Linked DNA regions of Rhinolophus ferrumequinum. The protein of the gene in region 1 interacts with the protein of each later gene in a pairwise test. Links are inferred from orthologs where the notes say so. Each region holds a gene or a part of one and is shown on either strand. Other genes may lie near its edges.

Region 1 (7,846 bases):
GGGGCTGAGCTGGCAAGAGCGGATTGCAGTTAGCACGGCGGATTGCAGGTAGCAAGTGAGGTTGGTTGGCAGAGAGAAGTGGACGGCAGGTTGTGGATAATGTGGCTCCAGCCGCCAGTGAGACTATAGTGGTATGACTCCCCTATCTATGGCTCCGTGGGTGTTCCTTTTTGGCGTCACCATGTCCTACGTTCTTATGTGGGAGCAGGACCAGAGACCCCGTCTTACACCCTGCGCGACAGAGCCCCGCTGGCCCGTGCAAGGTACGGGTCACTCAGGAGCTGCAGACAGACCTCCACGCACCCGGGTCTGGGGTCCCACGCAGACAGACGTGGAAGGATGGCTTCCAGTATGTGCAAACACCTCCACCCCACGTGGCTCTTGCCAGGTCCTGGAGCCGTCTGCCAGGACTTCCTAGTGAAGCAGCAGGCTCAGCTTTCCGGGTTCCCAAACCCCTAGGATGCATGTTGGAGTGGATAGAGACCTGCGAGCAGCAGAGGTGCTTCTCCCAGGACGGCCAATGACAACCTGGAGCTCCAGACCCGTTGCATTCCAGCCCTGCCGGGCCCTGGTTTAAGGCCCTCATCCTGCAGGTATCTGTGTGCCCAGTGTCAGGCCTTCCTTCCTGGTCTGGTCACGGGGGTTGGCCACCAGCCTCCCAGGTGCAGCGCCCAGCCCCCTGAACCCTGCTCCAGGTGAGCCTTCCTGGGCCCCAGGAATGAGCTCTATCAGCCCTACTCCCCACCATCTCCTCTCCCCCAACCCCTGCCTTGCTTGAGTCCAACCTCATTTCTGGAGGGGAGGCCCCATTCGGGGACCCAGGGGAGCCGGACTGGCTTGGAGGTGACTTGGGCAAGGTAGGGATAACTTCTCCTCCTCCTCCTTCTCTGATCAAAAATTTTCAGTGACTTCCTATTTCCTATAGCATCAGGTCATAACATTTTTCTTGTCTTTTATGATTCTTTGTATTCTTGCCCTACACTAGCACGCCGACATTATTTCCTATTCATTTTAATTCATTCATTTCACTCGCCTTTTGAATGTCATGTGCTAGGAAACCTAAGAAATCCACAGTCCTAGCTGTCTTTTGCTTGTAAGTCGTAGCAGCTTCTGACTGGTCGCTTTGTCACTAGTCTTCTTGTTTCTGTTCTGTCTTCTACTGTCTTCTGCTCGACTTCCTGTGTGAGTCCTCTGGAATGCAGTGTGATCATGTCACACTCCTGACTACAGCCTTCAGAAACCACATCACCACCGTGGCAGGCTCTGCCGGTTAGATCTCAACTGATAATACAGCGGGGAAGGCCTTGTCTGACTTGGCCCTTGCGTATGTTTGTAACTCCATTTCTTTTTTCTAGACAACAACCTTTTACCCTATTCTTGAGGACGACTTGTCATTTTTTGAAATTCTACCCAATTTCTATTCCTTTTGCACATAAAATGCCTCTGTCTGAGGTATCCTTCCTTCCCCCCTTTTCCTGTGAGAACGTGTCCTATGGCCCCTTCCTAGATGAAGCACCAAGGTCACCTTCATTGTGAGGTGTCCTTGCCCCTCTGGCAGAGTCCCTCACCGCCTCATCCGTTACCATAAAGCCTGTCCTCACGTACTGAGCACTTATAGCCGTCACAGTTGTTGGTTCACATAGTTACTTCACCTCTACTAACACAGCGACACCTTACATTGAAGTTTCCTCATCATCCATTCTCCTTGCATCTTGCAACTTTCCCTCATGCCACATATCGTAGTTGGGTTTTGTATTTCTTTGTGGCATTCTTTGGTTAATGTCCTGGTTTGGCACCCCCCAACCCCAGGCCAAACCTGTAGCTTTTTCTCACCATTCAATCTCCGATGCATAGCTAAGTACCTGGCACACAGGCATACGCTCCATACTGTTGAATGAGTAAGTTCATTAGTTGAGGACAAAGGCTTTTTGTCCTTTAATATTTATGTCTGTGTCACATAGCACAGAACTCAACTGTGTCAATCACTAACAAAGCCTTGAAGAGTGTTTTTTTAACACAAAGAGACTCTTTTCTTCCAATAAATCTTATCCGAAGTCCAATATATAGAAGAGATAAAAGCAGGACGGCCGTGTTTGAACACCCCTGCCCTGACTCCCCACAGGTTTCCTGAGCCCCGCCTCCCTGTTAGACAGCGGATGGAAACCACTGTTAGAGTGGAAACACAGTGACACTGAGAGCCGGCGAGTAGACTTACCTTCAAGCCCTGGTCGTAGCTGTGTGACTGGCAGACCATTTAACCACTCTAGTTAACCACTCCGTTTAACCATTACCTTTGAAATGAGAGTTTCATCCTGATGTCCTTGGCGTTTTGATAAGTATATTTAAAAGTTGCGATTTTATCCCAGGCCTTGATCCTCACTTAGGTATCCTCTCTTCTTAGAGGACCCTTGCCTCTGCGTTACCCTGATGCTAAACTTCTCTCAAGCCCATGCCAACTTCCAGCTCATTTAAGAAGTCTTCTCCGGCTAATCCCTGGCTTGTTGCTTCAATAACATCCATCATCCGCAGCAGGTAAACTGGAACCTCACCTCCGGCTTTCCCAGCACAGAGTTTCCGTGCAGAAGCGTGTTTTAGCAAGTACACTGGCCAGATACCCATTTGTTAACCTTCAACAACCTAAGAAGACTTCAGAATATTAAGGTGCATTCCTCCACCTGTGTTATTTACTTTCTGGAGTTAATATGAGAACACCCGTAGAGAGTGTCTTTTATTGATCAGTTAGCTTATTGCAGAGAGCTCATCTTAACTTGCTCGGTTCTGCCTGTCATTGGTTATTGTTGATTGATCACTTGAAAAATCAAACACCTGTTTAATTGCTCAAGTTAGGAGAAACAGAAGAAAACATGCCTAGGACATTATTTGGTGAGACTGAAATTCAAATGAGATTGTATTTACTTACACAAGGGGAACGATCCATTAAGCCCTTCTCTGACCGTTTTTTTTAAATTTGATAATAGAGAAGAGCCAAAGAGAAACCTGCTTTTGCAGTCAGACAGATTGGATTAGAATCAGAGTTCTGCATGCCTTTAGTCAAATCAAAACCTCTCTGGCTTTCTATTCCTTTTTTTTTTTTTTTTTAAGATTTTATTGGGGAAGGGGAACGGGACTTTATTGGGGAACAGTGTGTACTTTCAGGACTTTTTTCCAAGTCAAGTTGTTGTCCTTTCAGTCTTAGTTGTGGCGGGAGCAGCTCAGCTCCAAGTCCAGTTGCCGTTGTTAGTTGCAGGGGGCACAGCCCACCATCCCTTATGGGACTCGAGGAATTGAACTGGCAACCTTGTGGTTGAGAGCCCACTGGCCCACGTGGGAATCGAACTGGATGCCTTCGGAGTTAGGAGCATGGAGCTCGAACCGCCTGAGTCACCGGGCCGGCCCTTTATTCCTTATTTTTAAATGGGGTAATGAATGCCTACTTTCTCAGGCCTTCCTCTGGGAGGATTGGCTGAGCTAGCATATGTTAAAAGCCAGTCACATAGTCGGCACTCCACCAAGGTTAAGTGTGTGTGGTATTTTCTTGTCACTGGAGAAATCTGAGGTGAGCTCTGTATGACCAAAAAAAATATCTAGGTATTTGAGAGCATAAATGCAAACAAACCCATTGATTTTTCTGGCCGGGGTTGTATAAGATGTTTCAAATTGAAGTGATAAGCTTTTTTCCCCCCTTCAGGCTAATTATTTCCATGTTTAAAAACGTTGAAGGAAATTGGAGAAAATATGGGGAATTTGTAACTTTGATTAAAGCGTTTCAAATTTTGTGGGGCTGATTTTTTTTCTTCTGAATTTATTTGGTGGCACACACAAGAAGTGTTCTTCCTGGCGAATATCTTTCAAAGAAAATATAGTTTGATCTAGACTGAAAGACCAACTTGTGTGTGTGTTCTCACGTTTACATCGTGCACAGGACTCACCTGATAATTACGTCTTTCCTCACTCAACAGCTCTGAACAGGGTTTAAAGTAACAGCCCTATGATGCCACGATGGGACATTTGCATAACTGGAAAGAACAGACCTTGGGAAGCAAGTTCATTGGCACACAGGGAAAGCATAGCGAGGAAAACACTCACAGTGCTCATGCAACCACACAGCTACAGAAAAAAATTGAATCACTCAGCATGAAGTCTTGGCTTTGGATACCCTTTGTTTAAATATTGACTTTTGAAATGGGATGAAAATTGATATATGCCATGCTGCCACATCTTTCTCGCAGCAGGTTAAGTGGCGGCCATGCAGTCTTGTTGGTTAACCAGCACTGTGTGGTTTCTGATTTACAGCCCTGGTAATTTTTCTGCTCTGGGAATACATTCCATGAGAACACATACTGCAGTGAAAACTATCTTCAAACTTACCTAAGTAAAAGTGAGAATTCTTCCCATATGACCAGTTTATAAATATTTGGATTTTACCTGGGGAACTTCTGAGCCAGTTTCCCCGTCTCTACAAGGGGGATGCCTCCCGGATCTTTGAGGGTCCACAAGTGAAATGGCAGGAGCACCTGCAGGCAGCAAGCGCTCAGCAGGTTCCAGGACCCGGGTGCAGGTCAGGAGCAAAGGCGGGGACTTCGGGTATCAGGATTGGGTGTCCGGTGTCAGCGTGGACACCGTGCAGCGCACAGGCCTTCGGGTGCCTGAGCCGGGCAGGGGTGACGTCCAGACTCTCCCCGAGCGCTTCCTGCACGCTCCCTGCCCCAGGGACCACGGGGAGGGAAGCGGCACCCCCTCTCCTCTGGGAGATCCTCCCGCGATTCCGGAAGGAATCGGCTGTGGGAAGGAGGCGGCAACTCCAAGGCGTACGGCTGAAACCTGCGGGAACCTCAGCGCGCAGTGGCTCCATTCACCCGCTCGGGGGAGGAAGACTGAGGCAGGCGCCCAGCCCCGCGGATCTGCACCAGGCCTGGTTCCGCGAGGGGCGCCCAGGTCACGCCGGAAGCTTCTCCCGGACCCAGTCGGGGAGCAGGTGAGCGGATGCCCGCGACGGAAGCCCGTGGCCTGTGCCTCTCAGTCACCCGGCGTGATGGAGGCGTCTCGGTCCTGACGACCCTGGGACCGGGGGCCGGGCCTGGCCCGCTGGGCTGTGGTCGCCTCCGCCCGGTGACTGCAGCCTTTGGCTTTGGTTCAGGGACGTCTGGGGTTTTAAACGACCGGTTTGGGTTTCTATGGGGACTTTTGTCATCTGAGCATCTCCGTAACTGGGCGAATTTCCAGCATCCCGCGCAGACCCCCTTGTCCCTTGGGATAGCGCGGCAGGCGCCCACCCTGAGCGCCTCTGCGGCAGGTGGCCGGTCCCCCATGTTCGCGCCCAGGAACGCGACAGAAATCGGACGCGAACGACTGGGGACTTCACTCTTGGGGTGAAGAGAGGTGTCGGACTCAGCCGCGAATCGCGGGGGCTGTTGGGGGAAGTGGTTGGAGCGGGGGTAGGGGCCTGGGAAGGAGGTTGCGAAAGTTGCGAGTTCCCCAAACACGCTCTGTCCAGAGCGGTATGATGGGCGCAGCCCTCGTGGACTGTCCCCGAAGGTGATCTGGCCATCGCCCTCCGGGGGCGGCCCCGAGCCCCCGCCCATCCTTCAGCTGCGTTTCTTTTCTGCCCTGGCAACCCTCTCCCAGCTCCTCACAGGGCGGTGTTCTGGGGTGTGGGTCCCTTTGGTTCGGTTTTGTGTCTAGTTAACTTGATTTATAGTAACATAGTTTGCTGATCATAAAGTTAAATGCAGCCATCGTAGGCGGTTTGGGAACTAGGGAAAATTATTTTCAATGTTAAAACCCCTTTGATCCCGTTGCCCAGAGATGCCAGCAGTGACCAGGATCTGGGCAGAGCATGGGGCCAGCCCCTCTCTGCGCCTGTGGGTTCTCTCCCTGAGTCAGGCAGCCTGTTGAACTTGGGGTTTTCATTGTTGCTGAAATGTGGAAAGGATTATGTCCTCCTGGTGACCACCCAGCACACACACAGCACAGGGGCTCAGCCCCATCCACCCTCTGGGCCCAGGGAGACAGCGTTTGGGCTGCACCCTTCAGGAGGGGCAGAGGGGGCAGCAGGGAGTGCGTGGGGACAGCACCACAGCTGTGTTCAGGAATGAGCCTGGTAAATTGGGTTTGGCTGAGGCAAGCGGGCCAGCTGGGAGGGAGGGTGAAGTGGGCATTCTCTGCAGATCTTGCCAGGGTCAGAGGTGGGAGCCATGTAAGAAAATCCTGCTAACTCTCAATCTGCCAGAAACCCACCTTCTCCTGGGGTGGGCAGGGCACGAGCTCCCCCACCAGGAGGCCTTGGCATCCTCCTGCTTCCTGCTCTCCACACTCAGAGAAGGCCAGGGCCTCAGCAGCACCGTTTCCAGAAGGAAGGGGGAAGAATTTGATTCCTATCTACAACAGGCAAAGAACCCAGAGCAGGAAAATTAGAGTGCTCCCCCAGGTTCAACGTTAAAAGGTAAAGCGGAAAATTCAATGAGAAGAAATTTCTCTGTAAGGCCACATATAGACCTTCCCCTCAAAATAAAAAAAAAATCTGCTGTGATTTTTCCACAGGTTCGTGATCACTGGGACTGCGTCTCATTCTTATTTTTATTACTCACGTCTTTCATTTCTCGGCACCTGCTGTGTGCCAGGGTCTTTGCCCAACACAGAGTGGGATGAGGGCTGAGGGAAACTGAGGTCCAGAGAAGGAAAGGGACCCAGTGTCCTCAGGGCGCCCTTGGGCCCCAAGTGCCAGCTCCATCTCGACCTTCAGCCTCCCCCCAGCCAGGTCCCTGGGGTGAGAGGGGCCTAGAAAGCACCAGTGGAAACCTAGTCCCTTAGCCCAGCATCTGAAAGGGCCAACCTGCTCAGACTTCAGGGGGCTCTCATCCCCAAAGATGGCCCATGGTCAGCATTGGTGGAGACCACTGATTGAGTAGGACATGGCAATTTGATAAGTTCCAGGAGAGAGAGGAGTGACCGAGACCTGGGTGAGGGTTAGGTGGCCCCACAGCTCAGCCTGGCCTTCGTGGTGCATGGCGGGAATGGACTGGAGGGGTGGGAAGGCAGGCCCACCTCCTGTTCTGGAAGCTGAGGCACAGCTCCCCACATCCCACCCAACCCTTTCCTCTCCCGAGCGAGAGCGTGTGTGGTGGTTGGATTTTGCTCAGGTCTCTCCTCATTTACTGTGTGAGTGTTCTGTGTTGCTAAGCAGAAAGCACATACTCTGAGTACATCTTCCTTCTGCAACTTTCTGGTTTTCCCCCAGAGTTGATATTTGCTTAACTTTTTTGCTTACTAATCTCCTTTGAACTTGAAGCCATGTCTTCTGTCCCCAGTCTGTAACACACTTTTCAATGTGACTTTCCTCATGGTCAAGCCTATCAGTTAACCTCTGCATTCTGATGAGCGTGGGGGATCCAGCTCAGGCCAAAGGCCAGCCCCCTCCCCCTACCGCCACCCCTGCCCCTGGCCTCCCCTCTGTGGGTATGTCAGGGAAGCAGGAATGCCACCTCTTCAGCTCCCTCCCTCGGAGGAAGGAAGGCGGAAAGAGGAAGGCAACTGAAAAGCTCTGTGGAGTGGGGCTGGGTGGGAGGAGGGCCTGGGGCGCTGGGCCAGTGTTCAGGACTGTCTGGCTGGGGACCCCAGGCATCTCTTCTCTCTGGCCTGGGTTCCACTTAGGGGTCTCCATCACCCAGGCTGGGCAGCTGTCTGCCTGTTTCTGTGGATTGCTAGGGGATGGGGTGAGAAAGAACTTAGCACAGGCAGGCAGTTTCCTGCTCTGTTCCCCCACCCCCAGGAGAGTGTGCCTGCCGCCCCCCCTGTCACCCCCACAGCTGCCTCTGACAGCTCCTCCCAGCCCCTGCCTCCCACAAAG
Region 2 (7,791 bases), on another chromosome or scaffold:
CCCAGGGAATGAACGCGTAAGGGGACGGGACGAGGTGGGAGGTTACCACGGGTGCGTGTTTCAGATGCAACCGAAAATCAACACCCTCGTGCAGAGGCACTATACTTACTTCTGTTTGGAGATTTTTCCTATAAATGATACTTTATACTCACATGGTGACTTATAGCTTAAAATGTGTTATCATTTCCATTTTTATTTGAATGTGACAACAAAGTCCAACTATGAACTATGCCTATTTCCTGACAATAAACTATGCGCCGTGTAACCTCCCGTTTCCAGAGAAGACTCACGGAGTACGAAGCACCTACCGGGTCAGCCGCTAACGGAGCTTAGTACTAAGTCAGGATCCCCGGCTGAGGCCTCGGCTCTTTATTTCCTCTCACTGTTACAAGCAGGCTCCCGTCAGCTCAGCATTTACTGAGCATGTGCACAGGCCCAGCCTGTGCGTGGCGCTGGGATTTAAATAGCTCCAGCCCCTCCCTGAGTGGAACGTGAATGCCAGTGGAGGATGCACGTGAGCCCGTTGGGCACCACACACTGCCACCGCAGCCGCGCACGCCCAGTACTCAGGGACACCTGGGGACAGACGCCGAGAGGCTTCCGAGGGGCCGGGCCTCTGGGACAGGACTTGAGGACGAATGGATTGTCCAAACAGAGCAGCACAGACCAGTGTGGACCCACATGTCACACGAGACAGGGAGGCCAGGCGTGGCTGGGTGCCTGGGTCAGGTCAGGGCCCAGGACACGTGGGGACGGGGACAGCACTCAGAAGAGCCCAGAGAGTACTGTGAGGCCTCGTGTCCCACACAGCGAGGGGCTTGGACTCCACCCCACAGAGGAGGTTGAAAGGCAAATCAAGGGGAACTAAGCATCCCGAAGATAAGATTCAACAGCTAAAAGCGCACCTCCGGCAGTGACGACAGCTGTGCCTGATTCAGTCCCCTGGTCCATGCCCACCTAACATACCTGCGAAAGACGGCAACCGAAACTGATGAGCGAAAGCGCCAGTAAGGACAGAGGCAGAAAGCACTAACTGTCACTTAAGGGCTGGGGCTCTGACTTGGTGCATCAGGAGAGGACCTGACTTCTTTAAAGAAATCTTCAGAACCCCCCACTTCCCTTTACTGGGCATGCTCTTTGGGTTAAACATCTAGGAAAAGCAGCTCTCGTGCGCGTAAGGCTGACACCTAACTCTCCCTTCTCTCCCTCTCCTGGGACCTCGGGGAGCTGCCCAAGGAAAGTCCACAGCTCCCTTCATTGCACACGTGCCCGACGCTGTTTCTGCATCTCATCTCAACACCATGGGGCAGCGGCTTTAGCGGTGGTTAAAAAGGTAACGTGCCCCCCTAAGGTCCCGGGGGGGAGGGCTAGAGGAACGGAGAGAAGCGCTCATTTCTGGAGGCCCCTTCTTCAAAGCAAAGGTGCCCATTGATCTAACCCTAAACTCTGGTGTCTGAAGTCCCTGCCCTAAAATGGTGTCTCACACCCCCACCACTGAAACAAGTGCCACACGCTGAATGGCTAGTGTGGAATTTTAAAGCTCTCGGACGGTTAGAGGCTGATGACATCGTTCGTTAAACAACGCCCCCTCCGTGGGTCTACAGCCAGGCTTGTCTAGAGGACACGGTCACCAGCAGTCAGCATCTGCCCAGGCCAGTGGGTCACACCTAATGTCCTTTTTCACTCTCAAAAGTACCCGCTTTTGAACTAGAGACCTTCGAACTCGAGTCTACCGTAGACTGGCCTTTCGGATACAACACCTCCCCCACGGGCAGCTCAGCCTGACCTAGATCTGCCTCTCCTTACTGTCCCTCTTCAAATGCAGAACTGTCATTATAAACACCGATTTATGTCCCTCTCTCCTAAAGCCTTTCACGCACGGTACAGCTTTCCAAAGCAACCCACACACACGGCCCACGGTCATCTGCATGACTAGAGGTAAAACTTTAGAAGGTGTTTCATAGTGAACCGGGGAAGGAAAAGCATAAAAGGACTCCCAAACTTTATTACAACTTTTACAAAATCCACTTTGAAACACAGCCTAGTATTTACTTCAAACGTACTCATGTCATCCCCTACCAGGTACAAACCAGTAGCCATTTTGCCGTTGTGTCTTGTGCCATTAAAACACTGCCATGGGGTGAAGGCATCACATAAAATCCACACGTCCACACACAAACCTGTGACTCCAGAACGTTGTAAAGCCCTGACCTGTGCTTTGAGACACTCCTGAAGACTCTTTTGGGATTCATAAGCCACAAAATTTGTCATCCTTTTACTCATAGCGTCACTGTCTACAGTGTGGGTGTGGAGGAGATGAAGGAAGTTCAAAAGAGGAAGATGGGAGCTATCTGCAGGCTCCCTTCGTTACACTGTATCTAACACAAGCAGATACTATTTACCCTGAAGCTCTCTGGTGTGCTTTCCACCAGGTCTCTAACATCTTTTCTTTTTAGTGTGACGCTCACTGTGGACATACATGCAACTCCCAGAGCTTCTGACCAACTTACTCAGATGCAGGAAGCATAGGCTGGAGCACCAAGCCAGAGCGCCCGCTCCCTGCCCTCAGCCAAGCAGCACCCAGGGCAAAGATGGGGGCGGAGATTCTTTGGCTTAAAAACACACCAAGTGTGTGTGTCTCTGTCTCTCTCTCTCTCTCTCTCTCTCACACACACACACACACACACACACACACACTCCTGAGCCTCTGAACACTAAATCGCCCTCCACCTTCCTCCGGAAAACAGGAAGACACAAAGCAGAGTCTGGGTTGCCACTTGTCCCAGAGGGCAGTGGAACTGTCGTCACAGGACTTCACACACTGATCAACAGAGATACTTAAACCCCACTCCACACACCCACGGCGAGACCGGACTCACCGCTCTCCTCCTCGGTTTTAAGGACCATCTTTCTCCGTCACAGCAGAACCCCAAAGGTGGCTCGGTTTTGCTCTTCAAAGGAGAACTCCGCCAAGTTTTCCTGGGAGGTAGGGCTGGGCAGGCCAGGAATACCTGAGGGCTGCCCCGCCAGGACAGCTCAGAGCTGCTTCCTGAACCCCGGGGCTGGCCGGCTGCCCTCCTGGGCCAATCAGCCTCCAGCCGCAGAAGCAGCGTCACCCGTCCACTGCCACCGCCCAGTTCCTGAGGTGAAGCCCAAGCGGCTTCCTCCTTGCCGTCTCCTCCCTCGTCCTCCCTACCAGCAGTCTTGGGCTGGACGCCAAGGAGTCTAAGAGCTGCCCTGCTGCTCTTTCCTCAGATTCAACCAAAGCCATGGGTTCCCCTCTTCCTTTCCCAAGTGCTTTCTTAGCACACAATCACTGAAAACCCCTGGGCCTCGCACAATAAGATAACATTTCCCAAGGGAAAGACTAAGATCGTAATCAGACGGTATGTTATGAGGTCACAGGCTGAAAGCAGAAGGCAGACTTGAGAGACAAAAACAAAAAATCCAAGAGCAACACTCTCCGAAGAAGTTCAATTTTACCACCATTCTATTTTCTCCCGGGCCCCACCAAGCTGTTCTTCTCTGCACACTCATTACATTCACGATACGTTTGTTGTTGAAATTAGATAACAGTAATGAGGAAAGCAAAACCAAAAACCTTAATCCTATCACCAGGGACACCCACTGATGACATTTTGGTATATATTCTTTATATTCTTCCAGACTTTTGTTCTATGTTCTACACACACATGTATCTATCTATATATGTACCTCCTGTATCTCTCCTATATAATACATATTACATATATTTCTCTCGCGATATATTTATATTATTTCAAGATAAGCATATAGATAAGTATACATACACATAAATATATATACATATACATAGACAGAAAGAACTAGATCTTTTATATGCTCTCTCTTAACCAGCTATTTTTACTCGTAACAAACATTTTCCATGACTGTAAAATGGACACCGATCGTACTTTTATTATTCACGATATGGACAGAATATGTAGCCATCCCCCTACTGTGAGACGTCCCGGAGGCTGCCGGATTCTGTGCCAACCTCTCACCCAGGTACTTCTTGGCACGTGCCTGTCACCACCTCTTCAGCAACGTCCCCAGCGGGATCCAGACACAGCCTCCCACCTGCTCGTGGGTGAGACTGAGGGGTCGGCACCTCAGCCAGTCACACGTACAGGTGACAGCAGCTGGGGTATCGTCGTGTGGCAACACTCCTGGGTGCTCCCTTTGCACCAGCCTGACAAGGCCGGGCTCCTCTAACCCTGAGAGCACCTCATGAGGCAAGTGCTATCTCCAGCGCCCGTGCCCAGATGAGGACACTGAGACGTACAGACGTCCCACAGCTTGCCCAAAGTCCCAAACCTGGCACTGACCCCGTCTGACTGCAGGGCCCACCCCCTGGTGGGGTGCAAACTCCTGCAGCAGGCTGGGGGTAGGGGGTGACCGTGCCGTCCTGGACAGGGTCCTAGTGGGGCAGAAACACCATCCACAGCGACACACCAGAGCGCAGCCTCCAGTCACATCTGAAGGTGGCCACAGGTGCCTCGAGGGCAGGACCTTGGCCACCCTTTTCCTTCTTGTCTAATAATAAATAAATATGTACATCTACATTTGTAAAAAGCACTGTTTTGTAGAGGCAACTAACATAAATCCGAAAGTCCATGTTGCAGTTACGCTTTCTCCCTCCCACCCCATCTGCAGTAAACCCCGGGATTGCCCGGCTCTGCTCCTTTTCAAGCCAAAGCTTAAAGCTTCCCTGCCGGCACCAGGGCTGATCTCCGCTGCTGCTGGTCCCCATTTGAAGAAGACAGGTCCCTTCCATCTTCTACTTACTGTCAAGTGGAAGAGCGTTTCTCCGGAACAGACGCCCTCGGGCAGAACTGCTGGCCCGGGAGGCCCGGTGCTCAGAGCTTTCCCAGATCCGGCCCAAGGCTCCCCGAGACCCCCAAAGGACACCCCTCATTTCTGCCCGTCTATGAGTGAAAATGGCTTCACAGTTGTTCAGTTTGCAGCGATCTGTGACTGAGATGCTGATATATTTTCCTAAACGTGAGGTATTTCCTCTTTTGTGAAATGCTTGATCATGTCCTTTGCCAATTTTCCGATCAGTTATCTTTTCTTACCGATTTGTGGGTCACTAACGTACATGTTGTAAATATTTCTCCCACACTCTTGTCACTTGCTTTTAGCATCAGTTGTGGTTATCTTCTGTCTTAGAGAAGAGTTCCTGTTGCAGTCAAATCTCTAATCTCATCCTCATTCGTTTCACTCAACACCTGCGTGCTGTGCGGCGTCCTGGACACACATCAGAGAAGTAGGCCTGCCCTGGCGGGGAGCTGGGGGGTGAGGGCAGGAAACAAACAAGAAGTAACGCCACGTGGAGCTGCGCGCGTGGGGGTGGGGGCGGCCAGGGTGGCTGGAGCCGAGACACAGGAGGGGAGGGCTGCCCGGGCCTTGGAGGCGATTTTAAGGACTCTGGTGTCCACTGGGGGTGAGGCGGGTAGCGGCTGCCAGGGTTCGGAATGAAGTGGAAGACCTGACTTCCTTTGTAAAGATACCACTTCGGCTGCGGGGGAAGAACAGACAGGGCAGACACAGGGAGACCGGCTGGGATGGTGGTGGCTTCCGCAGGAAGGGGTCAAACTCTCGCTCTGCCTACTTCGAAGGCAGGACCGAGGACTTGCCACACATGGGGTGTGAAGGCCGGGACAGGAGGAGGACGGGGCCTCCCAGCTCACGCAGCCGCCGGCCCCCATCACTCAGGCCACTCCCGGCCCCTCCGCTCTCTCCTCCGGGCTGCGGGCTGTGTGACTTCCCGCTCTGCTCCACTACTCACGCTGCATTCTTGCGAGGCCGCCCAGTTCACGTTCTCAAAAGAGGGACTAAATGGCTCACAGGGCCATCATCCCAGTTTGGGCACAGGGGGGCACCTCACAGACCCCAGGCCAGCCTGCAGGACAGGTTCAGTGCCAGCACCCATGAGCTGCTGGCAGAAAGGCTGCCACTTAGGCCTTAAAACTGGGAGCACGGCGGGCACTCCTGGGCCAACTCCACCCTGTCTTCTGTGTGATTTCTGTTGCTCCACAGTTAGTACAACACATAACACTGTTTGTTAAAAAGGAAGTAATGAACGAGTAACGTCTTCAATTCCTTAAAATAGAAATTTAACTACTGAAGCACCCAATTATATGTTTGACTCACTCATCAGGAAAGTGACTGCGTAACTTACCCATATGAGGACATTTCTGAGATTGAAAACTATTCAGAATGACATCAGCCAACAGGCATTAAGGGGGGCAGCCCTGGCATCACCTACCCCCTGCTGGGCACAGCACCGGTGGGAAGGACGGTGGGGCAGTTATCCAAAGGGGGGCTGTGCCCAAGTTCAAAGCACTTTGAAGAACAAGGAACAAGAGCTACAGAAGCAGAGCAGGTCCCCAGGCTGCAGAGCAGCAGCGGAGTCACGAGGCAGGAGGCAAGGGGACTGGCCCAGGCCTTGTCATCAGCACCAGACAGCTCAACAAAGCGGAAGAACACACCCGATAGCTGTTCATGTTGAAAATCACACGAGGCCGTTTGCATGCAGGGGTTTTCACCCAAGACACTTTTTATTTTCAATTAATGAAACACCTTAAATAAGCCTTGATCCTTTACTCCAGCCTCACCCCCTCTGGTGGAGGATAAGCTGAGAGCATGCGAGCAAGTAATGGTTTGAAATGACACAAGAACACTTCCATGAATATTCATGCAATATTCTAGGGAAAGGTTTTTCTCATCAGTCATAATGCCAAGGACACACAGCTGCACTCAAAGCGGGAGTCATGTCTGTCTGTAAACGTGAGGGCAGAGTTTGGGGAGACCAACAGGAGTGACGGAGCCCCCAGGGCCAGCGAGAGGGAGCAGCTTTATCAGTGCCAGGCCTGCAGGACGAGGTGGCTGCAGGGAGAGGCCACTGGTGGGAAGTCTGGTAGGGAGGGGACTGAGGACACAGCACATCCAGGGCGGCCTCCAGCAGAGGGCAGGAGGGACACGGGCAGAGATGGAGGGCACACTACAACACCCGATGCCGGAAGCCACTCCTGAAGAACTCAATGGCCCCTTCATCTGCCCGAGTCTATGCTTCTCATCACCGTTTCAAGACCTTCCTTAACCTGACCCTGCGGTCTCTCCAGGCTCATTCCTCACCACTCGTGCCTGGTGTTTTTCTTTAAGCAAAACAACACGCACACACCATATAAAAGCAAGCATTACGTAAGGCTTAAAACAGAAACCACCGTTTCCTGCCCAACTCTACCCCTCGCCCTCGAATCCTGTTCCGTAGAGGAAGCTCTTTCAGCTATTTCTTCTGCTAATTATTTCAGCATTTCTAAATAACAGGCTCACACCATCCATTCTTGAGTTTTCAGTTCTGCCATTACCCCCAACACGCACGTGCGCGCAGCCACTCAGTGTAGCTACATGTACATTTCTGGTTACATCAGGAGTTAGTGTTTCGTAAATATTGCTCACAGCGTAGCCATACCATGCGCTGTGATTAAAATGACCACAGAGGTGTTAAGTGTCTTCTTTTTTGTTTGCTTACTTCTCTTACTGATTAATCGCCAAGCTCTCCCCAAGGCGTAAAACTGCCACCATGGTCAGAACGCCGTGGATCTGTTTGCGGGACGGCCATCCATGGACTGTACCCTCACCCCCTCGCCTGAGCCTGCTTCCAACATCGTCCTGAGACGTTCCCCAGCCGCTGCCCAAAACTGGGTCCTGTTTCTGTGGTTCTGTGTTTCTTTCTTTCTTGGATCACTTGCTCATTTTGGTGGAGCA

What was found.
Region 2: the proteins of ITGB2 (region 1) and CYTH1 interact in a two-hybrid assay, tested with the Homo sapiens proteins (2 studies listed by BioGRID). The link is inferred for Rhinolophus ferrumequinum from reciprocal best matches to the Homo sapiens genes ITGB2 and CYTH1.

What each region holds. Positions count from the first base shown.
Region 1 is NC_046285.1:107,942,034-107,949,879, reverse strand, and holds the start of ITGB2 (integrin beta-2), read left to right. Parts: upstream 1-4,827; 5' UTR 4,828-4,975; intron 4,976-7,846.
Region 2 is NC_046304.1:52,556,499-52,564,289, forward strand, and holds the start of CYTH1 (cytohesin-1), read right to left. Parts: upstream 3,074-7,791; 5' UTR 2,908-3,073; coding exon 2,880-2,907; intron 1-2,879. UniProt on the Homo sapiens protein: Promotes guanine-nucleotide exchange on ARF1, ARF5 and ARF6. Promotes the activation of ARF factors through replacement of GDP with GTP.